Ovis aries: one gene and its partners. The protein of the gene in region 1 interacts with the protein of each later gene in a biochemical or structural test. Links are inferred from orthologs where the notes say so. Each region holds a gene or a part of one and is shown in the gene's direction. Other genes may lie near its edges.

Evidence for each region.
Region 2: the proteins of JUN (region 1) and RUNX2 form a complex in vitro, tested with the Homo sapiens proteins (2 studies listed by BioGRID). The link is inferred for Ovis aries from reciprocal best matches to the Homo sapiens genes JUN and RUNX2.
Region 3: the proteins of JUN (region 1) and RUNX1 form a complex in vitro, tested with the Homo sapiens proteins (2 studies listed by BioGRID). The link is inferred for Ovis aries from reciprocal best matches to the Homo sapiens genes JUN and RUNX1.
Region 4: of the proteins of JUN (region 1) and PRKD1, one has a biochemical effect on the other in vitro, tested with the Homo sapiens proteins (2 studies listed by BioGRID). The link is inferred for Ovis aries from reciprocal best matches to the Homo sapiens genes JUN and PRKD1.
Region 5: of the proteins of JUN (region 1) and MAPK8, one has a biochemical effect on the other in vitro, tested with the Homo sapiens proteins (76 studies listed by BioGRID and IntAct, with this or other methods). The link is inferred for Ovis aries from reciprocal best matches to the Homo sapiens genes JUN and MAPK8.
Region 6: the proteins of JUN (region 1) and EP300 form a complex in vitro, tested with the Homo sapiens proteins (5 studies listed by BioGRID, with this or other methods). The link is inferred for Ovis aries from reciprocal best matches to the Homo sapiens genes JUN and EP300.
Region 7: of the proteins of JUN (region 1) and MAPK10, one has a biochemical effect on the other in vitro, tested with the Homo sapiens proteins (7 studies listed by BioGRID and IntAct, with this or other methods). The link is inferred for Ovis aries from reciprocal best matches to the Homo sapiens genes JUN and MAPK10.

The regions. Positions count from the first base shown.
Region 1 is NC_056054.1:33,493,864-33,497,845, reverse strand, and holds JUN (transcription factor Jun), read left to right. Parts: upstream 1-1,182; 5' UTR 1,183-2,102; coding exon 2,103-3,110; 3' UTR 3,111-3,876; downstream 3,877-3,982. UniProt on the Homo sapiens protein: Transcription factor that recognizes and binds to the AP-1 consensus motif 5'-TGA[GC]TCA-3'.
Region 2 is NC_056073.1:18,667,638-18,671,137, forward strand, and holds part of RUNX2 (runt-related transcription factor 2), read left to right. Parts: intron 1-95; coding exon 96-252; intron 253-3,500. UniProt on the Homo sapiens protein: Transcription factor involved in osteoblastic differentiation and skeletal morphogenesis. Essential for the maturation of osteoblasts and both intramembranous and endochondral ossification.
Region 3 is NC_056054.1:267,608,461-267,611,960, reverse strand, and holds part of RUNX1 (runt-related transcription factor 1), read left to right. Parts: intron 1-1,146; coding exon 1,147-1,622; 3' UTR 1,623-3,500.
Region 4 is NC_056071.1:38,245,489-38,249,506, reverse strand, and holds the start of PRKD1 (serine/threonine-protein kinase D1), read left to right. Parts: upstream 1-1,218; 5' UTR 1,219-1,512; coding exon 1,513-1,776; intron 1,777-4,018.
Region 5 is NC_056078.1:41,775,433-41,778,932, forward strand, and holds part of MAPK8 (mitogen-activated protein kinase 8), read left to right. Parts: intron 1-1,669; coding exon 1,670-1,835; intron 1,836-3,500. UniProt on the Homo sapiens protein: Serine/threonine-protein kinase involved in various processes such as cell proliferation, differentiation, migration, transformation and programmed cell death.
Region 6 is NC_056056.1:218,148,369-218,151,868, forward strand, and holds part of EP300 (histone acetyltransferase p300), read left to right. Parts: intron 1-341; coding exon 342-782; intron 783-2,367; coding exon 2,368-2,547; intron 2,548-2,749; coding exon 2,750-2,894; intron 2,895-3,500. UniProt on the Homo sapiens protein: Functions as a histone acetyltransferase and regulates transcription via chromatin remodeling. Acetylates all four core histones in nucleosomes. Histone acetylation gives an epigenetic tag for transcriptional activation.
Region 7 is NC_056059.1:101,973,964-101,977,949, reverse strand, and holds the start of MAPK10 (mitogen-activated protein kinase 10), read left to right. Parts: upstream 1-1,186; 5' UTR 1,187-1,317; intron 1,318-3,986. UniProt on the Homo sapiens protein: Serine/threonine-protein kinase involved in various processes such as neuronal proliferation, differentiation, migration and programmed cell death.

The DNA.
Region 1 (3,982 bases):
AGCGGAGAAATTTTAAATCTTTATTCTACTCACTCGCTGCGTGACTTTTGGCAAGTGTCTGCTGCTCTCGGACTTGTTTTCCCGGAAGCAAATCGGGGCGGGAGGAGTGGCGTGTGCGTGTGTGTGTGTTTGTGTGTACATGTGATGTGCGGTGTGTCTATGCATGTTGTGCGGGGGCGGAGAGTAGACTATCACCGGGGTTCCCCGAGTTTCGGATTCTCCAAACGCTCGTTCAAACTAGACGCCGAGTTGCCCCTTAAATCCACCTCCTGTAAGAAACCTTTCCGAGGCAAAGATGCGAACCCCCGCACCCTTTCTCCCACGGTCGGGAGGGTGAGGTGGGAGTGCGGAGGGGACTTAGCCGAACACCCAGTTTCAAGCAATGCAAATCACTGGACTTCCAGACAGAGCCAGACAGTCGCTACTGAACTTGACCAGGAGACAAACTTCAGGGCATTCTCAACGTGGGGGGCCGACTCTCACGAACTGCCCCCAAATTTAAAAGCCACTTTCACTCGCCCCCACAGGGGACTTAACAGAGCCACCTTAAGGGCGGTGCTCCCGCCCCCCGGAAGTGCGGGGGGGCCAGGAACCCAGGCGCTCAACGGGCCCGGCCCGCCCCGAGCGGCGGCGAAGTGCCCGCGGGTGACATCGAACCCCCAAGTGGGGAAATACCACCCGCCCCGCGCCCTCGGCCCCAGACACCTGGCTCGGTTCCCCTGGCCTCCTGGGTCCTAGCATCCCTGGCATTCCCATCCGAGCCCTAAACTTCAGCCCACTTCCCTCAGAGGCTGGGAGCGCCGGAGTCCGCCCGGCTCGCGGCAGCCACCGTCACTAGACAGTCAAACCCCAAGACGTCAGCCCACAATGCACCGGGCGGGCCGGGAAAGACGCGTCGGGGAGGGAGGGGGAAGAGAGGGGCGCGAGTCGCGCGGAGCGGGTTGGGGGGAGGAGGAGAAAGAAGGGCCCAACTGTAGGAGGGCAACGGAGCATTACCTCATCCCGTGAGCCTCCGCGGGCCCAGAGAAGAATCTTCTAGGGTGGGGTCTCCATGGCGACGGGTGGGCCCGCCCCCCTGAGAGCGACGCGAGCCAATGGGAAGGCCTTGGGGTGACATCATGGGCTATTTTTAGGGGTTGACTGGTAGCAGATAAGTGTTGCGCTCCGGCTGGATAAGGGCTCAGAGTTGCACTGAGTGTGGCTGAAGCTGCGAGGCGGGAGTGGAGGTGCGCGGACGCAGGCAGGCAGACAGGCACAGTCAGTCGAGAAGGACAGCAAATCCTATTTTCCAATTTCTCTCCAACTGCCCGGAGCTAGCGCTTGTGGCTCCCGGCCTGGTGTTTTGGGGAGCGCCGGGAGAGCCCCTTCGCCAGCCGCCCCCAGGCGGAGAGCCCCGCTGCGCGGGCGCTGCTGACAGCGCGGAGAGCGGCCACTGTCCGCCCGGGGAAGTCCGGAGAGCGGCTGCAGCGGCAAGAACTTTCCCGGCCAGGAAGACAGGAGACAAGTGGCCGCCGGGTCCCGGAACGAACTTTTGCAAATCTTGCCTCCGCCCGAAGCTGCCGCGGCGGCGGTGAAGAAAAAGAGGCGGCGGAGAGAGGAGGACGTGCGCTCCGCTTCGCTCGCACCGGTTGCTGAACTTGGGCGAGCGCGAGCCGCGGCTGCCGGGCGCCCCCTCCCCCTCTCAGCGGAGGAGGGGACAGTCTTCCGAGTCGGGGCGGCGGACACCCGCCGCCGGCAGGCAAACGCGGGGTCCGCGCTCCCTGCTATCACCGGGAAGCGAGTTCGTCCGCGGGCTCTGAGGAACCGCTGCGCTCGAGAGAGCTCCGTGAGTGACCGCGACTTTTCAAAGCCGGGCGGCGCGCGCGAGCGGACAAGTAAGAGCGCGGGCGGCGTCTTAACCCTGCGATCCCCCGGACCGAGCTGGTGAGGAGGGCGCCGGGGGCGGGGGCTGCCAGCCGGCGGGGGCGCGCGCTCTTCCAGAAACTTTCCTTGCTCACTGCCCGGGGAGGCGCGGGTGTCCCCCGCTTGCCAGCGCGCTGTTGCGGCCCCGAAACTTCTGCGCGCAGCTTAAACTAAGCCCACGCGAAGTGACGGACTGTTCTATGACTGCAAAGATGGAAACGACCTTCTACGACGATGCCCTCAACGCCTCGTTCCTCCAGTCTGAGAGCGGCGCCTACGGCTACAGTAACCCCAAGATTCTGAAGCAGAGCATGACCCTGAATCTGGCCGACCCGGTGGGCAGCCTGAAGCCGCACCTCCGGGCCAAGAACTCCGACCTCCTCACCTCGCCCGACGTTGGGCTGCTCAAGCTGGCGTCGCCCGAGCTGGAGCGCCTGATCATACAGTCCAGCAACGGGCATATCACCACCACGCCGACCCCCACCCAGTTCCTGTGCCCCAAGAACGTGACGGACGAGCAGGAGGGATTCGCCGAGGGCTTCGTGCGCGCCCTGGCCGAACTGCACAGCCAGAACACGCTGCCCAGCGTCACGTCGGCGGCGCAGCCGGTCAGCGGGGCGGGCCTGGTGGCCCCGGCGGTGGCCTCGGTGGCGGGCGGCAGCGGCAGCGGCGGCTTCAGCGCCAGCCTGCACAGCGAGCCGCCGGTCTACGCCAACCTCAGCAACTTCAACCCCGGCGCGCTGAGCAGCGGCGGCGGGGCGCCCTCCTACGGCGCGGCTGGCCTGGCCTTTCCCGCGCAGCCCCAGCAGCAGCAGCAGCAACCACCGCAGCCGCCGCACCACCTGCCCCAGCAGATACCCGTGCAGCACCCGCGGCTGCAGGCCCTGAAGGAAGAGCCGCAGACGGTGCCCGAGATGCCCGGGGAAACGCCGCCCCTGTCCCCCATCGACATGGAGTCCCAGGAGCGGATCAAGGCGGAGAGGAAGCGCATGAGGAACCGCATCGCTGCTTCCAAGTGCCGGAAAAGGAAGCTGGAGAGGATCGCGCGGCTGGAGGAAAAAGTGAAAACCTTGAAAGCGCAGAACTCGGAGCTGGCGTCCACCGCCAATATGCTCAGGGAACAGGTGGCCCAGCTTAAACAAAAAGTCATGAACCACGTTAACAGCGGGTGCCAACTCATGCTAACGCAGCAGTTGCAAACGTTTTGAGGCGAGACTGTCGGGGGCTGAGGGGCAACGGAGAAAAAATATAAATAACACAGAGAGACAGATTTGAGAACTTGACAAGTTGCGAGAGAGAAACAGAGAAAAAAACAAAAGTGTCCGAGGACTAAAGCCAAGGGTATCCAAGTTGGACTGGGTTGCGTCCTGACGGCGCCCCCAGTGTGCACGAGTGGGAAGGACTTGGCGCGCCCTCCCTTGGCGAGGAGCCAGGGAACGGCCGCTCGCGGGCTGCCCGGGTTTGCGGACGGGCTGTCCCCGCGCAAACAGAACGTTAGACTTTTCTTTAACGTTGACCAAGAACTGCATGGACCTAACATTCGATCTCATTCAGTATTAAAGGGGTGGGGTGGGGGAGGGGGTTGCAAACTGCAATAGAGACTGTAGATCGCTTCTGTAGTACTCCTTAAGAACACAAAGGGGGTGGGGGAGGGGAGGCGGGAGGGAGGTTTGTGAGAGCGAGGCCCAGCCTGCAGATGAGCTCTTTCTGGCCTGCCTTCCATAACTGTGTATGTACATATATATATTTTTTAATTTGATGAAAGCTGATTACTGTCAATAAACAGCTTCATGCCTTTGTAAGTTATTCATGTTTGTTTGTTTGGGTGTCCTGCCCAGCCTTGTTTGTAAATAAGAGATTTGGAGCACTCTGAGTTTACCATTTGTAATAAAGTATATAATTTTTTTTATGTTTTGTTTCTGAAAATTCCAGAAAGGATATTTAAGAAAATACAATAAAATATTGAAAAAGTTACCCCTCCCCCAACCTCTTTTCTGCATTATCTATAGATTACTTGTCTAGGTGGAGTTGAAAGAGTTGAGTGTCAATTAAAATCACTGTGGGTGCTTCTTACTAGCAG
Region 2 (3,500 bases), on another chromosome or scaffold:
CTGATACAATGCATCCTTTACGATGAGACTATATTCTCAGTCCTTCAGCTTTTCTGAGATGCCATTATTGCTGCTATCTTTCCTGTTTTATGTAGGTGGTAGCCCTCGGAGAGGTACCAGATGGGACTGTGGTTACTGTCATGGCGGGTAACGATGAAAATTATTCTGCTGAGCTCCGAAATGCCTCTGCTGTTATGAAAAACCAAGTAGCAAGGTTCAACGATCTGAGATTTGTCGGCCGGAGTGGAAGAGGTAGGTCTCTGATTTTTCATATGGATAATGGAATAAACACTTTAGGATCCTCTGATGAAATGTAGGCTAAGTCTGTATACAAATCAGCACCTTCTACTGAATAGAATTACTGAAAGTTTTCTTTAAATACGTCCAGATGAGGTTGAGTGTTTTAGTGAGTACTCAGGCCTTTTTCATTTGTTTTATGATATTGAAAATTCAAACAATGTTTTCAGAAGGACCAGTTCCTAATTTCACTGGGTGTGAGCATATGAGGTGGAAGGAAGAACAGTTGGAGGTTCAAGTTCTGAGTTATGAGGAGCCAAATAACTGAGTACATTCAGTGGCAAAGGGCAAAGAAAAGGGAGTGCATTGGATCAATTTCCTGGTAATATCAATTTTGCTCTAAGTTGTAGCAAGGACAGCTAGCATAATGCTCTTCACTTGTCACATATGTTACCTCTGTAGGATTTAATTTACTCCTATAGGAACTTATTTAAAAATCATAGGCTTTTATAGAAGGCTTTTCATTTGAATAAGTGAATAATGTATTACTTATGTTAGAATGACTATGTGGAATTGCCTAGACAGATGAATGATTGGGACTCTAAATATTTCCACATTATTTAAGAGTTTCCACCATCCATACCCCCCATTCAGATATTAGGAATCTTTAAAAAGATCATAAAAGAGAAAATAATCCCTTTTAGGGTTTTTGTAGCTGTTTCATAAATGCAGTTAATATATTTTTTTAAAAGTCTCAAAGAAAACCAGTATTTTGGCTTTTATTTACTTATTCTATGGCAAGACTTTTAATCATCATTCATTGGAAGTTTTATGTTCATTTACTGATTGATTGAATCTGACATTTCCATTTTAAGTATTTTGATGAGAAGAGGGAAAATAGACCACTTTAGGACTGGAGTGAAATGAATTATAAATAAATTATAAAGACCTGTGGAATGACTTTAACCCAGGTTTGTGTTAGGAAATGAGAAGCATCAATTTTTAAACCATGTCCAATAATTGCCCTTTAGTTTGGATCAGATGTCAAATTATTACCATTGTAAAAACTTGATAAGGGAAATTCATGCAAGACTGTTTCCGGTGAGTAGTTTTAGTTTACTTTCTAGGAACAGTGCCAAGAAGTTGTACTTTTTAACTTAAAAAAAAAAAATGATGCATGCTAATGAGATACTGTCACTGAAGATTTGAAATAAAATGAGAGCCTCTGGTAGAATCAAAACTCAAGGGGTTATCTTTGCATCAGGTTTAGTTCACTTTCATTAAAAGGAAAAAAAAGATACATCTTAGTCTCACTCTTGACTGATTAGGTGTAAAGTATGTATGTGTGTTTATTCATTTTTCCCCTCGGTTACTGTGCAGGCCTACTGTACAATTCAAATTTCTTTTTTTCTTGTAAGAAGAGAAATTTGAACATGATGTATCTTCTGAACCTATATCTATCTTCTGAAGGCATCTTTCTTCTAATGTAACATTACTTTGTTGAATTTTAGTGTTTAAAAGACCAGGCGCTATACATCATTTTACAGATACAAACTAGAGTTTTCATTTATCTTGCTTTTGTATGATATAGATGCTGCATAACTTTTCTCTGATCAGTTTGAGTAGAAACTATGGCAAAGTGATAGTGTACTTTGTAAACCCTCAACATATTTATTTAAGAAACTTCAAAGGGAAACAAAGGGTGTGCACTGTTTTACTATATTGGCTTTCTGAGTTTTGGCTGGTTTCCCAAATAGCAATTTTTATATTAAAAAAAAAAAAAAAGACAGACTTAACTGCTTGCAGACTTTTCACGCATGGAAGATGAAGAAAGCTTCTTTTGATGAAGTGTAATTATGTCCAAACAGAGCTGACCCCCTCCCCCTATATTTCTTATGATCTTAACTGAAGAAAGTAGGATTTTTCCTTTGAAGCAGCCGGGACTTGGTGGAGGATCTGAAATGCCACAGTCTGCTGCCAGAGGCAGGATGGAGAAATTGGTCCAGACTTGTCTTCGAGACTTAGATTGGGGGTGGGGGGAGCGAGTGGAGAGAGAAAGAAAAATTGATGTATCACTAATAATAGATTTTTAAATCAGGACATTAATATTATATGAAAGGACACAGTAATATCAAGCTGAAATGAAGAGGGGAAAAAGGACAGAGAATATTGATGAGATACTACCCTTTGAAAAGAAAAAATGGGTCAGTTCTTCAGTGGCAGGAAATCCTTTAACCTGCCTGTGTACCTGACCTGCTTCTAACAGTCCCTTTCCAGCTTCCTCTTTGATTTTCACACTTCTTTATTTCTCTCAAGTTTTAAAGTCTGGGTCAACAAGATGCTGCCATTGTATTCGCTGCCCAGCTATTTACATTTTCTATTTTCGGTAGCATTAAAAAATGAAAAACCAGCAAGTTCCTCAAATGCTACATTTTTTCATGGGTAGAAAGATACACTCTCAGGAATTAGAAAAACTGTTTTCGATTTATAAAGCAGTAACATGGCTACTTACTCTGGCATCATGGGTTATCCGAGGACCACAGCTTTTCGAAGTGCTTTGGAATACGAGTAGAGCATCCGTGAAACTTGCATTCAGTGCAGAGTGGCTTACGTTTTTAAATTGTCTTTTCACTTTTTCTCTGTTATATTTTAAGCCAAGTATGGAAAGTGACTTCGGTCTTTAAGTTTTCTTGGTGTGCTTCCTCACTTTTGATGTCAAGCGAGTTGCTTTTAATTTACAAGCACTTCTAAACACCGGTAGTGTGCAGAGCATGGTACTTTGTCAATTCTGGATACAATCTGTGCTTATAGTCTTAACTTTCCCCACTATTTCTGACAGCCCCTCGGGCTAGGTTAGAATTGTCTTTCAATGACAGGTCCTATGTGTATCTCAGAAAATATATGACTTGAGGACATAATGCAAAACTAGTCCCTAGATGAAGCTAAGGATGCTACAATGAGTTGTCTAACGATTGCTAGCTCCCTAAGTAAGAGCTGCATTTTTTATCACTTATGGAGAGTAGTAAACAATGGGATTTGGATTTTTTTTTTAATTTAAAGGAGGAAATCATGAATACTCATGTAAACATTTGACTTCAGAAATGTATCACTGTTTATAGGGACGAGAGCAAATGACCCAGTTGGGTGATAGTTTCTGGAACCATTAGGTTCACGTTCCTTCTGAAGGGGCAATAAGAAGTGGGAGGAACCGCCTTGTCTTTTGTTTTAGTTGTTAAAGTACATCTTGATTCTTAGGATTTGAT
Region 3 (3,500 bases), about 230 Mb from region 1:
TATATTAATAGTTCTTCTAGTGTTATACTGTTTTGTCATGAAGTGAAGTGAAGTGAAGTGAAATGAAGTGAAGTCACTCAGTCGTGTCCGACTCTTTGCGACCCCATGGACTGTAGCCTACCAGGCTCCTGCGTCCATGGGATTCTCCAGGCAAGAGTGCTGGAGTGGGTTGCCATTTCCTTCTCCAGGAGATCTTCCCAACCCAGGGATCGAACCCGGGTCACCGGCATTGCAGGCAGATCTGAGCCACCAGGGAAGCCACTGTTTTGTCATATATTGTTATAATAAGACATTAATACTGACATATTAATATGTTGATTATATAGAGAGGTGACAAACTTTTTTCTGCAAAGGGCCAGATACTAAATACTGCAGACTTTCTGAGTCCTACAGTCTGGCCCTCCAGTCTCTGCCATGACCACTCTGAAGTGGTGACTTAAAAAGTAGTCATAGTTAATACTTAAAAGAACAAGCGAGAGTCCTTTCAATAAAACTTTATTTATGAACACTGAAATTTAAATTTCATATCATTTTCAAGTCAGGAAAAAGTCTTTTGATTTCCACCCCCCACCCCCAACCATTTAGAAAAGTAAAACACATCCTTAAGACTGTGGGCATACAAAAACTGGTAGCAGGTGAATCTGGCAGGTGGGTGTGCAACCTCAGAGTTACAGCAATATTTGTTTATATGAAATCAGTTATATCTGATATGTTTATATTAAGCAAGTATGACTACATATTACATTATATTACAACCTTATTACATTGCATGAGATCATATATTACCTTGGAGAAGGTAACGGCAGCCCACTCCGGTGTTCTTGCCTGAAGAATTCCATGGTCAGAGGAGCCTGGAGGGCTGCAGTCCATGGGGTTGCAAAGAGTCGGACACGACTGAGCGACTCACTCACTCACTCATATATGGCCATCTTCATCATACCTGCTCCCTGGACGGCAGCAGCTTTGTGGGAAATTCTCCTGGGCACTGCTCCCTGGATGGCAGCAGCTTTGTGGGAAATTCTCCTGGGCACTGCTCCCTGGATGGCAGCAGCTTTGTGGGAAATTCTCCTGGGCGCCGGTTGGGAGAGGGAAAGGGCGTGGCCTCCCTGAACCCTAATCTCACGATATTTCTCACCCACCACACAGCTGCGCCCGACCTGACGGCCTTCGGCGACCCGCGCCAGTTCCCTGCGCTGCCCTCCATCTCCGACCCCCGCATGCACTACCCTGGAGCTTTCACCTACTCCCCAACTCCCGTCACGTCGGGCATCGGCATCGGCATGTCGGCCATGAGCTCGGCCACGCGCTACCACACGTACCTGCCCCCGCCCTACCCCGGCTCGTCGCAGGCACAGGGCGGCCCGTTCCAGGCCAGCTCGCCATCCTACCACCTATACTACGGCGCGTCGGCCGGCTCCTACCAGTTCTCCATGGTGGGCGGCGAGCGCTCGCCACCACGCATCCTGCCGCCCTGCACCAACGCGTCCACCGGCTCGGCGCTGCTCAATCCCAGCCTCCCGAACCAGAGCGACGTAGTGGAGGCTGAGGGCAGCCACAGCAACTCCCCCACCAACATGGCGCCCGCCGCGCGCCTCGAGGAGGCCGTGTGGCGGCCCTACTGAGTGAGGCTGCGCACGCGCGCTCCGTGCGGCCGGACGTCGTCCCGGAGGCGCCCGTCGGTGCCCAGCGTCGCGTGGTGGAGAAGCCCGCGCCGGCCCCGCGGGGGATGCTCGCCACCTGCCAACTGCCTGTGGTCGCCATCTCTCGCTTCTGAAGTCCGCGCAGTTCGCCGCCGCTGTGGGCCCGTCTCAGATTTTTTTCTTCTAACCTGACGCAACTTGAGGGTGTCCGGTTCACCGCCCTGTGGGCACTTCGTTAAGGCAAACAGGAAGATTCCCGGAGGGAAACTGTGAATGCTTCTGATTTAGCAATGCTGTGAATAAAAGAAAGATTTTATAACTTTGACTTCACTTTTTAACCAAGTCGTTTATTCCAAAGAGTATGGAACTTGGGGTTTTTTTGGGGAGTGGGGGGGAAGGGCGGGGCGGGCAGAGATGCAACTCATTCTGTTTGGCATCTAATTCATATTTTTAATTTTCTTTTCCAGCACCTTATAAATTGCAAAATGTGTATTTGCATTTGGGGTGGTTTTTTTATTTTTATATATATATAAATTTGAGCTTTGCTTCTTTCTTGCTTTGACGAAAGAAATATGATTCCTTTTTCTGTAAGTTTTATTTAACTTTTCTTTTGGACTTTTGGTGTAGTTGTTTTTTTAAGAAACAGCTGCAGCTTTGGGTCATTTTCAACTACTGTATTCCCACAAGGAATCCCTAGATATTTATGTATCTTGATGTTTAGACACTTACTTAATGTGTTGATACTTTTTTATTATTTAAATGTGCTTATATTAAGAAAAATATCAAGTACTACATTTTTTGTTTTTGATAGTAGCCAGAGTTAATTGTATCACATTGAAGAAGGTTGGAAAAAAAAAAAAAGATGGGTAATGTGATCACTTGGTTATCTAAATATTGTTTACATTAAACTCCCTTTAATGTTAATTCAACGAGTCAGTAGCTAATGCAGCCATGTTTTTATTAGGCTTTTTAGATACTGAGGGTCACTCCAAAGATCTGAAGTATGGAATTTTCTGCTAAGCTCAACAAAGGGTCTCATACCTGACTCCCTCCCTTCAAATCTGGTTCCAGAGGGTTGGGGTAGATGCCAATGATTGCACCTCTGGAGAGGATTTATTTTCTGCCTAGGGGGTTTGCTCACTCCATGGCCTCTTAATAATGTTAGACATGCTTTGTAACAGAATGATTGCAAAGTAAGCTGTGTGGAGGAATGGTATCCACATGGACACCGAATGAATGAATTTAGGGGTTCCTTAATTGCTCCATTCTGGGGTAGGAAGCAGATCATCTGAACCCAGAGTTCAGATGTTTGTTTAGCTCCAAGGAGATATTCCTCTTGATACTATACCTGTTGGTTGATGCAGAAGAAAGCTTGTGGCTGTCCCCCAAGGCTGGGAGTGGAAGGGACCGGATGCCTTTGACAGCCGAGGTGTCCAGGTCAGTTTTCATAGGGTGGGCCCAGAAGCAGGCCCGAACAAGCCCAATTCCCTCCACCTGCCTCAGTGAAGTCGTGTGGGGAGGGTGTCATCCCACCCGTGCAGGACCCATCCCATGCTGCTCCTTCCCCACCCAGCTTTGTATTGCTCTCACCAACCGAGACCCTACCCTGTAGGGTGTGTGCACTTTTGCTGGTGCATCAGCGTGACAGGAAAAGATTCATGTCACTGCCCATGGCTACAATTCAAACATATCCAATGTCACTGTAAATTTTATGGCACTATTTTTATTGGAGGATTTGGTCACAAGGCAGTTGTTGTACAACTCATAAATACTAACTGCTGATTTTAACATATGTGTGCTCAAAATGATCTGGTGGTTATTTAATGTACCTCTTAAATTAGTTGAAATGATTTCAGGTCA
Region 4 (4,018 bases), on another chromosome or scaffold:
GGATAGAGGAGACTGGCAGGCTACAGTCCATGGGGTTGCAAAGATTCAGACACGATTGAGCAACTAACATACTGTAAAATGAAAAAACAAACAAACAAACAAAAAACCATTAAGTAATCCAAGATGGTGACAGTCAGCACATCACTGTGGCAGGGCCTTTCAAAGGTCGAGGCCCCACCGTCACCCACCCTGTGCAATGTGCGACGCATGCCCTGGTGGGAGAAGAGCAGAATTCATCCCCAAGCACCCTTCCCACCTCCCCACCCAGCCAAAACTACAACACAGGCAACAACAGGGAACAACTATCAAAACTAAAGCCGATGGTGCCCAACCTAGATGGCAGCGGCGCTGGGAGCATCACTGCTTTATATAAAGCTGATTTTACAGTGAAGGAACGGATTCTGAGGACTGGGGGGTAGAAGCTTCAGACACCAAGAATAAGGGTAAGGGACAGAGACTGCATCAGCCCTTCCTCTTTTTAAAAAATGTAGACAATGAAGGCCTTCTCTTTCAAAAGAGAACTTAGTCTGAGTTTAGCAACTTAGTCTGGTGCCTTGGGAGCTGCGGTGAAATGCGTGGGCTTTGGTATCAGGGTGTGTCAGTGTCAAAAGAAGTAAAGACAGGTTAGATATATTTCCGTGGATTGGGTTCCCACCCTCTTTGGCAACGAACCCAAGGGTTCCTGGAAGGACCTGGGATGTAAGTGGGTTTCCAAGGACCCTCTGTTTTCATTTTTCCTCCGAAAGTAAGACCCACGGAGAAACGCAGGGCTTGGCATTCTTGAGTTTAGCACAGGCCACCTCACGGGTAGAAGTGCGTCGTCCTCGGACACTTGGATGATGTGGCAAGGACTGTGGGGGCCGTGAAGCTCCTGGTCCCAGGCAGCGGGTTGTAGGAAGGGCGCCCAGTCCCGTCCGTCCGCAGTCGGGCAGCCGGGACAGCGAAGAGAGCGGGGTCCGGGAGGGAGGGAGGGAAGGGTCGAACCATGCTCGCGGAGGCGGCCCCACGCCCTGCCGCTTATCCTGCCCGGGCCAGGGGAGGCTCAGGCCCAGGGAGCCTCGGGCGCAGGGGACGGCCACCGGGCACACTGCGGCCAGCGCGGCCGCGGCTCTTGCGGCTCCGGCGCCCGCCGGGTGGTGGCTCCGCAGTGCCCGCCCCTCGCTCCCCTACCCCGCCCCTCGCGCCCCCTTCCCCGCCCCCGCCCGGCGCCCCGGCCTCGCAGACCCGCCGCCCCGTCCCTCCGCGCGCGCCGCAGCTGCTGCTCCTCCGCGCGGCGGCGCCTCCCCCGCGCGCCGCCCGCGCTGCCGGCGGCGCAGCCCTCCCGCCTCGGCCATTTTCTCTCCACCCCCTCCCCTCCCGATCCTCATCCCCTCGCCCTTCCCCCCGCGCGGGGACTTTTCCGGAAAGTTTTTATTTTCCGCTTCGACTCTTGAAGAAAGAAGCTCCCGGCTCGGCGGCAGCAAAACTTTTCAGCCGCCGGGCCCCGCGGCCCTCGGTGCGCCCGGCCGAGCGATGAGCGCCCCTCCGGTCCTGCGGCCGCCCAGCCCGCTGCTGCCCGTGGCGGCGGCAGCAGCCGCGGCGGCGGCCGCGCTGGTCCCGGGGTCCGGGCCGGGGCCCGCGCCGTTCCTGAATCCCGTCGCGGCCCCGGCCGGGGGCATCTCCTTCCATCTGCAGATCGGCTTGAGCCGCGAGCCGGTGCTGCTGCTGCAGGACTCGTCCGGGGACTACAGCCTGGCGCACGTCCGCGAGATGGCTTGCTCTATCGTCGACCAGAAGGTAAGGCGCCGCGCGACTCTGAGCCCGGCGCCTCCCGGCCGCGCTGGGGGCACTGCCCTCCGGCCGCCCCTCGCTGCGCCAACTTTCCGGCTCCGGGGGCTCGGCCGGCAGCCAGCCTAGCCGGCGCTCTGGAAGGGTCCGACACCGGCCGAGGTTGGACGCCCGCATCCGAGGCTCTGCACTTCGTGTTGTTCTGTTCCCCCCTTGCCCCAACCTCTTCCTATTCCCGATTTCTCTCCAGTCCGCATCCTTCTCCCCCAGTTCCATCCCTTTCAGGACATTTCCAGGTATCTTCTATTTTCTGGTCGCACCTCTCTCCCTCTCAGTAAAGACTTCTCGGCTCTCCCCTCTCTTCGCTCTGGACCCTGGACCAGCACATTCCTGGCGCCGAAATCCTCCTTCCTGCACTAGAGTTTCCCTGGGGACACGCTCAGCACGATTTCAGCACCACTCCCTTCCCCTTCAGGCCCCTCTCCCAGCTCAGATTGATGCTGAGGAGTTCCTGGAATGATCTAGAGAGGAGGAATTTCTCACCTGTCAAATAAGCTTTTAAGAGAGAATGATTGACTCGGCCAGCTGTGAAAACAAATGACCAGACCACAGCTCCCCACCTCTTGTGTTCTATTCCCAACTCTGTGAACATGGGCGCAATTTTTTCAATGATAAATCTGAAAGTTGCAGCCTTCTGGATTTTGATTTCCAGGGCACTGATAGTGGAGCTTTGAAGCCAGGACACAGGCATGTGAATGGGAGGGGTCCTGTCCAGGAGCACCCCAGGCTGGCTGTGCCCCTAAGTTTGAGGCTGTGGGACTTTGGACAGCGGCCACCAAAGGCAGGGTGGAAAAGGGGCCATTATCCTGGACCATGCCGCCCAGGGAGGAGACGTGGCCCGCCTGTCGCTGTTTATAGTGCGATTTTGAATTTCAGGTTGTTTCTGTGGCGGTCCAGAGGGGAGTTGCATGGAAGGGGGTGATAAGAGTGTAAAGGAAAGGGGGCCGTGGCGCCAGTCTTCTTAGTGTAAACAGCAAGGATTTCTGGGTGGAGACAGAGGTCTCTAAAGGTGCTGAATTTCAACCCTGAAGGACTGACTGGTACTTGCTCTATAAAGATCCCTTGACTAATCATGAAAGCTTTCTTTAAACTGTTTGGAACAGAATTTGCTAAACCTGTGTGGTGAATTGTAGCACTGAGCACAGAAATATTAGGAAAAATCCCTAGGGAGAAATCACTAGTCTAAAAGTTGTAAAAGTTCTGGAGGCCAGACTAAGTTAACAGTGAGTGTCAGGATTTTTGTTTATTGAACGGAGTGACATTTTATAATACGTGTGACTCTTAGTTTTTTGCATCTTCCACGTAAATGGCAGATACTGTCTAATTCTGTTTTAAGTCATATCATATGCCCTCTCCTCATCAATACTGTTGGAGAAGGCAATGGCAGCCCTTCCAGTACTCTTGCCTGGAGAATCCCAGGGACTGCGGAGCCTGGTGGGCTGCCCTCTGTGGGGTCGTACAGAGTCGGACACGACTGAAGCAACTTGGCAGCAGCAGCATCAATACTGTGAAGTGTCTGTTGCAGGTTAACAGGAGCGTTCTCCTGGGCACTGAAAGCCTTCCCTTAATGGAAGTTGCAGTCTACAACAATTTCCATTGGAGTGCAAGCCAGTTAATTAAAGGACAATACTGAATAAGCACATAAAGAACCTAAGATAAAGTTTCTTAAAGAGCTAATGTGATTGTATAGAATTTTAGCTGAAAGTAAGTGAGTTACAGATAATATTCATTGGGTCAAATTAATATGGACAGACTATCTTTGAACAGTTTTAAAGGGCGTGCCTGTGCACACACGCACGCACACACACACACACATATAGCCACACCTTGATGGAATTTAGAATGAGGAGAAATATGCATGTTTCAAGAGGTTTGAGACTAGAAATTGAATGAAGAGTGAATTCTTATCTCTGTAACTACCAAGAGGAATGCCTTGTGGAGGGGATGATATGTGTTCAGGAGAGCAGCAGAAAGCACCTGTGGAATACAGAGGACCTGAGGATAGTGACTAGAATATTTAGAGAAAGTAAAATTATGAAAAGGCTTGTCAATTAAGATGAACTCAAATTACTAGGAATCTCTGTATCTTCTACATAGAGAAATCAAGGACAGCTGAAAGATGGATTTGCTTTGTGGAATATGTTTTAGAAGGCCAAAAATGTTATGGCAGAAGGAAAACTGAAGCTCATGA
Region 5 (3,500 bases), on another chromosome or scaffold:
GCCATTAAATCATTAACCAACATGATAGACATTGAAATAGCATCAAAGCTCATAATATTTATTTTTGAACATGCAGTGTTTCTTTGCTGAGGTATTGCATTTTGGAAATCAGGACCACATATTTATAGGATAGCAATGATAAAAATGTTTATCCTCTGTTCCAGTAAGCCTGCTGATATTTATTTTTAATTTGATAAAACCAGTCGATGACATGACAAACCTAGACAGCATATTAAAAAAGCAGAGACACTGCTTTCGTGACAAAGGTCCATCTAGTCAAAGCTGTGGTTTTTCCTGTAGTCATGTACAGATGGGACAGTTGGTCCATAAAGAAGGCTGAGCCTTGGACTGCAGGGAGATTAGACCAGTCAGTCATAACGGAGATCAGCCCTGAATATTTATTGAAAGGACTGTTGCTGAAGCTGTAACTCCAATACTTTGGCCACCTGATGCGAAGAGCCAGCTCATTGGAAAAGACCTGGTGCTGGGGAAGATTGAAGGCAGAGGAGATGGGAGCGGCAGAGGATGAGATAGACAGCATCAGCAACTCAATGGACATCAGTTTGAGCCAACTCTGGGAGATAGTGGAGGACAGAGGAGCCTGGCGTGCCGTAGTCCATGGGGTTGCCAAGAGTCGGACGCAACTTAGCAGCTGACCAGCAGCAACAAACAGGTGGCACCTCTTCTGACGCCATCTGTGACTGCTTGTCAGCACAGGCTAAAGACAGTTACATGCTGCGCTGGATGTAGGCATGCAGGAGTGGTTAACCATCGTTTTTCAGGCCAGTGTTGTGTATTGTTAATCACTGATATTCAGTATGTGTGAATTATAGGCCTGCTCTTTTCGGTCTCTCCGTTCATGATAGGATTCGTGGTAGCTAAAAGGCCAGATGGGTTGAACGGGAAGCCTTGAGTATTTATGCCGCTGCCTTTTTATGATTGTAACATAGAATTCCTTGAGGTTGGGTTCACATGGGTAGCTCTTCACAGACGTTACTTAGTAGCATCAGCAGCAGGTGATTTTATGGATTAGTGGCACCAGGACAAGGCTGTCCTACCTCTGTGGGCAGTCAAAAATTGTATGAACAAATCTGTATGATTTTGGGTGAGAAATCAGTGATGGGAAAACTGGTAATGATTACTTTGGTCCTTCAGAGTTGAACATTTGCCTATTTGAAAAGTCAAATGACATGTGATTGGGTTGACATAGAATGGCCTATTGCTGATACAGAATATCTATATAAAGCTTACTGTGATTTTAAAATGAGAATTTTAAAAGCTAGTAATTTAGTATACAAGTGAATATAAATGCTAACTTATGATTCTCTCTTTATTTAACCATAAAAGTTCTTACATGAGCTTTGAGATGCCATTCCAAATCGCTTTTACACCCCTTGATTGAAAGTATCTAGCTAATCATATTTTCTAGCAAATAAAACATTACTAACTTCTAATAACTACTGTATGTATTTGTAAATTAAAAATGCCCTCAAGCTAGTTTCTCAAATCTGTCTGTTTATGATGAATCTGTGCAGTGGTAACAGTTACAGTTTGAGGAAAATGAACAATTAGCATGAACTGTTTTATGAGAGATCTCATTCATAACGTGTGGACTGCAAAGTATTTGTTTATATCATAGCAGTCATTTTTTGTATTTTTATTTTTGAAGGACTTAAAGCCCAGTAATATAGTAGTAAAATCAGACTGCACTTTGAAGATTCTTGACTTTGGACTGGCCAGGACTGCAGGAACTAGTTTTATGATGACACCTTACGTAGTGACTCGCTACTACAGAGCACCTGAGGTCATCCTAGGCATGGGCTACAAAGAAAACGGTCAGCAAACACTATTTACTTGAAATTCTGTTCAGATTTATTTGCTTTTGTTTATCAGATTTCTTATGTAAATACTTAAATTGAAATGCATAAAGAAAATTATCGCTGTTTGAAGTGTTTATCAAGAGTTTGGAAGTAACTACAAATTTTGTCATAAATGTTTGGAAAAACGTGGGGCCCCTGTTTATTTAAATACAAATACATAACCATCAGTACAACCGTTGGATAAAGAATTTGTTACCATGGCCCCTGTAAGAATACATGTCTAGAATACATAGCATTTTCTTGCCTGTAATGTGAAAATGAGCACTCTAACATGGGCACAGGGAGTATACAGTGGACCCGTCTCAGCACCCGCCATGTCTCTAGTGGTGATCTTGGTTCACATTAGTGGTATTTGCACACGTTTCCTGTCCTGTGACATTAAAGTTAGTAGCAGTAGCACTTAGTGCAGACTTTAAGAGCTACAATAAGGCTGTTCTGTAGAGCTGATGGATAATTAATTTAAGGTGACCTTTCAGAGGAAATGGTGTTTCATCAAAGCCCTTGTGTCCAGCCTTAAAGAAATGGCGTTATGTGCGAATATAGCCAGTTACATAAATTATCACTAGAATTAGGTTGAAGAAAATGCTCAGGCATGTAGTTCATGAATTTTAAAAAAATGTTATACATACACATATTTATACCTAAGAAAGGTATAAATTTGCTGAATCTCAGTCATTTGGAAGATGGATAAGTCTACACATGATTTTATTGACTTTAACTTTTAAAATGAGATAATTAAAAATACTTCATAAAGTAGGACCTAGACATTTTTCCTAGCAAAAGACTCTGAAACAGCAGTTCACTCTGAATCAGGAAACTGTATCAAATCAGTTTTGAGGATTCTTTTTTTCTAAAAAAGATAACTTTGAAGTAAGGATTTTAGCTTAATATTCTTATCTGAGCCAGTTAAAAACACTTTAAACATTTATTATCAGTATTATTCTTTTGTTCTTAAATAAACACGCTGTTCTGTTGTCTTACTCTTGACCTAAAATTGTCTTATACCCTGTAAAATCCAGTGAGTTAGATTTAGTATTATACTTTTTTTTTTTTTTGGAGAATTGCTATTTTAAGTGACAGCATGATCATTGTTTTTTAAAGTATTTGCTGTAAAACCACTGATTGTCATAAATAATGTGCAGTGTGTCACTTTGTCTTGGAATTGTGATCTTAGGCGCTCCCTAGTAGAAATTAGCACCAAGAAAAACTATCATGCAAAGAGTTGACATACTTTCCTTTCTTAGATAAGAATTCTATAGACTCACTTTATTGTGTTCCTTCAGTCTCCAGGAAACTGAGTCAAATATAGTGCTTAATGTTGGTAACTACATCGGCCAGCAAGGTTAAGCATAAGAACTTCCACCTTTTAGTGACGCCTCTCACCCATCCTACACCTGTTTTAATGACTTGTTTTATATATATGTCTTTTATTGCAAGCTACCCTCAAAGCTTTTTGGAAAGTGAGATAATGGGATATATTTAAACTGCCAAATAGCCTGAGCAGTTAGACCTGTAGAGCTCTTTTTATGTTTGAATCAGGCTTTTCATATTCTGAGGACAGTCTTCATTTGCCCAGACAGTGCTTGCAATAGCCTCTCATGCTTGTAGCTTTAGAAATGT
Region 6 (3,500 bases), on another chromosome or scaffold:
ACCATTTTAGCCAGTTTTTAAAACAGTGAAATCTTTAAAAATGGTATCTTACTGAGCGCTATGAAGCAGAAGAGAGAACTTTGGCTGAAGAGAGCATTGGACGGCTAGAAAACAAACAGGTTCACCTGTCCCGTGCCCCCACAGCCCCTGAGAGATCCACTTAACTGAGTACTGTACTGGTTGGATTTCCCAAAGACAGGCCCCCAGTAATAGGGTTTTTGACACATTTTGAAATGGAAGCATTCATTGTTGATTTCTGTTAAATGTATATAACCTGCCTATGTAAATACTTCTTTGATTCTGTTCTGAATTGCATCTTGTTATGTTTTTCCTTTTAACAGGCACAGATGTCCAGTTCTTCCTGTCCTGTGAACTCTCCTATAATGCCTCCCGGGTCTCAAGGGAGCCACATTCACTGTCCCCCTCTCCCTCAACCAGCTCTGCATCAGAACTCACCCTCCCCCGTACCTAGTCGCACCCCCACCCCTCACCACACTCCCCCTAGCATAGGGGCTCAGCAGCCACCAGCAACAGCAATCCCAGCCCCTGTTCCTACGCCTCCAGCCATGCCACCTGGCCCACAGTCCCAGGTTCTCCATCCGCCTCCAAGACAGACGCCTACGCCGCCGCCAACACAGCTTCCTCCCCAAGTGCAGCCTTCGCTTCCTGCTGCTCCCTCAGTCGACCAGGCGCAGCAGCAGCAGCCTCTGTCCCAGCAAAGCACAGCAGCCTCTGTGCCCACCCCGACCGCACCCCTGCTGCCTCCGCAGCCGGCAACTCCAGTAAGCAGAGTCTGGGCTTTCGGCAGAACCATGTCAGCCGTACTGTAGTTTTATACTACTTCAGTGCGGTTTCTTTTTTCCTTTCGTGGGAGGTGGCTGGGGGTGGTGAGCTTGCAGGACCTTAGTTCCCTGAGCAGGCGTCCACCCTGGCCCCATGGCAGTGAGAGCGCTGAGTCCCTATCACTGGACCTCGGGGGAACGTCCCTGTGCCATGCCTGTTCTCTGCCATTCTTCTCTCACTGTCGCCGCCTCAGACTGGAACCTCTTATGTTTACGGACTTTTGCTGTCACACCTCACATAGAAGGACCTCAAAGATTTTCTTTAGATCTTACGTTGACTGCGGTCACGTTGTATTCAGAGGCTTGAAAGCATGTAAGGGGAGAAGAGCGACCAGACGTTTAATACTACATGTGAATTTTACAGATACTTAAAGAATCTTTTCAAACAGCCTGAACTGCTGTTCTCGAGCAAATGAACAAAATCATTGATTTATGAATGTCTATGGTCCTAGCCAAAGTTAGAAAATTCATGAGAAGGTGTTTCATAAGGCCTGAAACACTCCTTGCAAAAGATTTGTTACCTGGGTAGCAGAGATCCAGATGTCCACCAGTTACATCCTTATTAACAGAACTCTGCGTGCCGCTGTTGAAACTTCCTGCATGATCACTGATAGTTCTCTGTCCTGTTGGCAAACTGAGAAGTGCTGGGAGTCATTGCTCCTTCTTAATACATTGTTCATGTGTGACTGGTTCATCTTAGCCTCTGATACGTAAGAAAAGGTAGGATGCAAAAAGGCATCTGTATCCTACATAGGATAGATTCTGAAAATACTGACTTCCCGTTAAGAAGTATGTTATTGGAAGACTTAGGAAGAATGGAGGTTGTTAGTTATCCATTAGAATGTGATGACTCAAAACAGCTGCTCATTGTGGGAATTTATTATATTCTCCCAACTTGTATATGTGAAACTTTTCCTAAGGAGAAGTTAAAACTAAAAGATTGTCCGTCAGTCCTTCTTATTTTCTTTCCATTTTTTTGTAAACATGAGCTCCTCTGAGGCAGCCCTTTCTGAAGCCTCCCTCCCAGGTGCTGTCCCAGAATGTTACTGGAGAAACAGTTGCTGGCTCTTGTGTCTACAACAAGCCGGCCAATATTTGTTAGTCCTCAGTCTCCTTGTCTTAAGCAAAATTTACTTCGGGGGGCCAACTAGGCAGAGTAAGTGAAAGCACCATGCGTGCACATGCGTGCTAGATCACTGCAGCCGTGTCTGACTCTTCTGCGACCCTATGGACAGTAGCCCACCAGGCCCCCCTGTCCACGGGGATTCTCCAGGCGAGAATACTGGAGTGGGTTGCTCTGCGCTCCTCCTCAAGGGCATCTTCCCGACCCAGGGATCGAATATGTTTCCTGCATCTCCTGCATTGCAGGCGAGTGTTTTACTAGCCCCAAAACACCATAAATGGGTGTAATGACACTAGCTTAGAAATAGGTGGTTATTCTGCCATCTTGTCATATAGCCTAAATTCTGGTTTTATAATAGACGGACTTTTTTTTTTCTTCTCTGCCCCGCCCTTTTCTACCCAGCTTTCCCAGCCAGCTGTCAGCATCGAAGGGCAGGTGTCAAACCCTCCATCCACTAGTAGCACAGAAGTGAGTTCTCAGGCCGCCCCTGAGAAGCATCCGTCACAGGAAGTAAGACCGGAGCCGAAAATGGAAGTGGAGGCGCCAGAACCAGCAGACACTCAGCCGGAGGGTATGCCAGAGGTGAGAGGAGGGCAGTCGCTGCCTTTTGGGGTTAGGAACATGTTACAGGAAAGGACTCTGATACTTAGGTCTCATTTTACTGATTTCCATATGAGAAAGGGTCTTGAGCTCCATCCACAGGGGAGAGTAAATAAGACATTGATGGTACTGCTACTCAGTTACATGTCTTTGGAATACCAAAAATTCCTACCATGCCTTCTAGCCTAAAGCAGAAGACTGTAAAGTAGAACCTACAGAAAGCGAAGAGCGAGGCACTGAATTAAAAACTGAGACGAAAGAGGAAGAAGACCAGCCAAGTACTTCAGCGACCCAGTCATCTCCAGCCCCGGGACAGTCGAAGAAGAAGAGTAAGTTTCTTAGGCTCTGGGTTCATGGAGGCAGAGGGAAAACTAAAGACTTCAGTAGAGTGAGATTGGGCTTCTTGGGCCTTGGAATTGAACTTTATGTGATTTCATTAAGCCTGGTGCCCTGGGCCTGGTCTTCATTACTACTAATGTTGGAGAAGGAGTTTTCTTTCCTTTAAGTGTATTTGTTTCCAGCAGTCACTGGGTGGCAAACAACTTCTCAGAATTCTTTCAGAGGACAAAAATTATTAAATAATACTCTGGATCAAAATGCAGGAAATAACAGCAGTAATAATATTCTTTGTTTTCTTTGTTAACTGCTGTGCACCAGGCACTGTACCACAAGCTGCCTTGTCTCATCTGAGAACCTCACAGCCCCTCTGTGAGGTCCCTGAGCCCTGTTTCACAGGCGGGAAAACTGAGGCTCAGCAAGGTCCAGTAACTTAACCCAGCTCACTTAGTCCAGGCAGGCTGAACCATGCTACTGAATGGTAATGAGGCAAGCAAGCAAGCATGCTTAAGCAGAGAGTGTTTAACAGGTCCCACGGAAGTTAATTTACTAGCTAGTTTAGGACTAGAACTTCTTATGGCTCTAGTGACCCCTTCAGT
Region 7 (3,986 bases), on another chromosome or scaffold:
CTTATATTTTCAGAATGCCTTCTAGTTTCTTCTTATAATATTGTACTTTCAATTTTTGTTTGTTTTACTTTTATTCCATATCTTTTAGTGCCTTAAATGCTTTCTATGCAGCCACTGTCTTCTTAGATAATTCCAAGAAAAAACGAAAAGAAATCATGCTGATTTCCTCTCAAACTGACACCACATCTCTACCAAGGGAAGTTGTCTTTAAAGATGCATCAAAACTGTGACGAAGATCTGGACAATTCTTGTTGGTTTCTTGTGCAACTTTGGCTCAGGGAGGACTGAAAGGGAGGTTTAAGAATGATAGTTTCCACACTACTAGTAAAAGACTAGTTATTTTTTAGCCATAGTAACAAGTAACCGTTGGAGCTGGTGACAGAATCAACAACAATTGACCTGAGTGAACATACTTCTGTGGGCCAACCAAGCAGAGTAAGAGCGTCTAACTTCTGAAAGTCAGCCAGACTCACTACAATGAATTTGCTTGGACAATCAAACTGAGCAACAGTGTGACTCAAGTAGTCTTGCTTCCGCACTTAATGTCAACTCACTTCTGCTTCTGGAAATCTGCCCATCTCTAAACTGTGCTTCCTGAAAGTCCGCAATGTCAGTGGTCTCTTCTGTGCATAGGCAGAATAGCGCTCTGTAAGCAATACATTTAGCTTTGAGGTTTCGTTGCAGATTTTGCATAGAGCTATCATCCTTTGTCTATTACCATCGTATCTCCTGAATCTCATTTGCCGCTTAAACGCAGATAGCCTAGCAGTTATGAACTTGGGCTCTAGGCTGATTCTGCTGCATTCTGGCTGTGTGATCCTGAGTAATTTGCCCTGATTTTTTCATTTGTAAAATCAGGAGACTTATAGCATCTACTTTACAGGATTGCATTAAATATATGAATCACTTTAAGTGCTTTATAAATATTAGTTAGTATTACTATTTCTTGCTCTTATAAATACCAAGCGTAAAGTAAAAGTTAAAAGGAAGTGAAGGGTATCACTGCTGCTGCTGCTACTAAGTTGCTTCAGTTGTGTCCGACTCTGTGCAACCCCAGGGACAGCAGCCCACCAGGCTCCCCCGTGCCTGGGATTCTCCAGGCAAGAACACTGGAGTGAAAAAAAAAAAAAAAAAAAAAGAACACTGGAGTGGGTTGCCATTTCCTTCTCCAATGCATGAAAGTGAAAAGTGAAAGTGAAGTCGCTCAGCCGTGTCCAACTCTTCTCGACCCCATGGACTGCAGCCCACCAGGCTCCTCCGTCCATGCATTTTCCAGGCAAGAGTACTGGTGTGGGGTGCCGTCACCTTCTCTGAAAGGTATCACTCCCTTACAATTCAAGGCTTTGCTTGTACTTTCCAACATCAATATTTTTAAAGTATAAGCTTAATACTTTTAAAGCTTGGAGGAGTTGTGCTTGTGTTTATGTGTTTGTGCATGTGATATATGTGATACAGACATACATATGCCTCTGTCAATTTTGAAACTATTCTCATTGTTTGAAGAAGAGCTCATATTCAGACTTCATTCATAAGGGAACAAACATCTGTTTAATATAGGGCATACAGCCACAGTAGTATTGTTAATAAACATGTAGATGTTTCTTGTTAAGGACTAGCATATTGAGTTCTATATTTTAATTATTTTACCAAGAATATTACATACATTGTATTATTTTATACATTTATTAAATCATTTAACAAAATTTTATTATGTGTCTGTTTTGTGCCAGGCAGTGTTCTTGAGACTAGAAATAAAATGATGAACTGTGGTACTGAATAAATTCCACTCATCTAGGTTTCCTTTTGAAAACAGAAATGTCATGGGTATAATTAAATGATTTATTATTACTTATCTTGATATGTGTTTATATTTATGCTTATATTAAAGTTGTTGTTTATTTGCTAAGTCGTGTCCAGCTCTTTGCAACCCCATGGACTGTAGCCTGCCAGACTCCTCTGTCCATGGGATTTCCCAGGCAAGAATATTGGAGAATATAGAATATTGGAGTTTGCCATTTTCTTCTCCCGGGGATCTTCCCCATCCAGGGAGCGAGCCTACATCTCCTATGTCTCCCGCAGGCAGATTCTTTACCCACAGAGCCATTACAAAACTAAAACCAGTAGGAGTGTTGTTTTGTTACATGAATTCTGTTGCCGTTGTTGGAATGACTTGTTATACAGTGACACCGGAAGCACAGAGAAAGCCTGGCAAATGTTTGTGAGATTAAGTTGGTGGTCAGGATTTCCAGGGGGAGCAAGTCACAGACACCATGTTTCCTGCTCTTTTAATCCAATTTCCCATAAAGACCAATGAATAAAGTTCACCTCGTATATCATTTGGCAAATAACTGAATTGGCTCTGTGATAATCTGCTTGATTCTTCTTGTGTCTATGTTTTAATCTGTAGTGTTTAGTGTTAATATTTGTTAGTTATTAATTTTAGGGTTGTATGGAAAAGTTAATACTATATGAGGGCTTCCCAGGTGGTGCTAGTGGAAAAGAAGCCACCTGCCAATGCAGGAGACGCAACAGATGCGGGCTCAATCCCTGGGTCAGGAAGATCCTCTGGAGGAGGGCACAGCAACCGACTCCAGTGTTCTTGCCTAGAGAATTCCATATACAGAGGAACTTGGCAGGCTACAGTCCATGGGGTCGCAAAGAGTCAGGTATAAATACTCATATATATTTTTATATCTTGGTCATAGCTATAATGTGTATACACATTAACTGACAAAAGTAAGTACTCTACAATGCCCTGTGGGAGTGGTGGCATGTTTTATAGGAATTGTGTGTATATTCTGCAAACACACTTTTTTTTTTCTGAACTGTATGAGGTAAACTACAAGTTATATTATACACTATGGCTCTTTTAATATTGTGAATTTTCTGACATGATTACAGAAGTTATACAGTTCACAAATTTACATTGATAATCTACCATTTGTTTAGTAATTTCATTAGTGTTTGATCTTAAACTTTTCTCGCATATTTATGTGTATATACTTTAAATAATCTTTAAATAAAAGAACTTTCTCATTATGTTAAGTAACTGCCTTAAACATTAGTTATGTTCAAGTAGTATACTGTATTTTGTGTAAATAAGAACCAACTAGATTCAGTTTAAAAAAACAACTGGTTTTAGGAGGCATTTGGCTATGTGCTCAGTCGTGTCAGCTCTTTGTGACCCTGTGGACTGCAGCCCACCAGGTTCTTCTGTCTGTGGAATTTTCCAGATGAGAAATACTGGAGTGGGTTGCCATTTCCTTCTCCAGGGGATCATCCCAACCCAGGAATCAAACCCACATCTCTTGCATCTCTTGCATGCAGACAGATTCTTTACCACCTGTGCCGCTGGTGGAGTCTGATATTATGAGAGCCCTAAAAAATAACTCAGAAAACACTAATTGGAGAAGAAGGTTCAGTTTACCCTTTTCATGTCCACATGAACTCTGTGGCTGTTTTTTCCTTTTACTTTTCTTCTACCATATGAGGATAGTAAAAATAATAGCTTCCAAACAAGGTGACCAAGGTTTTCCCTTCCCTTCCTTTCCTCTGTGGAAGAGATTGAATGGAACCACAGTGACTGCCAGCTGCCTGGAGACAGGTGCTCAGGGACTCATTCTGGCCCTGAACCTTGAGAACAAATGTCAGGAAATGCTTTTTTTAATGTCAAGATTCTGGTTGTATGGATAAGAGTAAGTATTGCGTGATATGGTAAAGGCTTGCACCTACGTAGTCGTTCATTGTGAAAGGAAACCCTAATTTATTGTTTAATGTTTAATACAAGGCGTTTTAATCAGTACATTTTGGTAATAATACCCAGGAGCAGAAAATCATTGGCAAAATTAAGTTGAAACAGGCCAGATATGATCTTTTTTCTTGTTCAAGTAAAATGCAATTTAGTCCGTTTGAGCTTGAGGGATATCTTCCCTGTCGACTGCTGTCCCCTCAAAGCCAGCCAAACAAGTCCAACTTAACCTACTCCC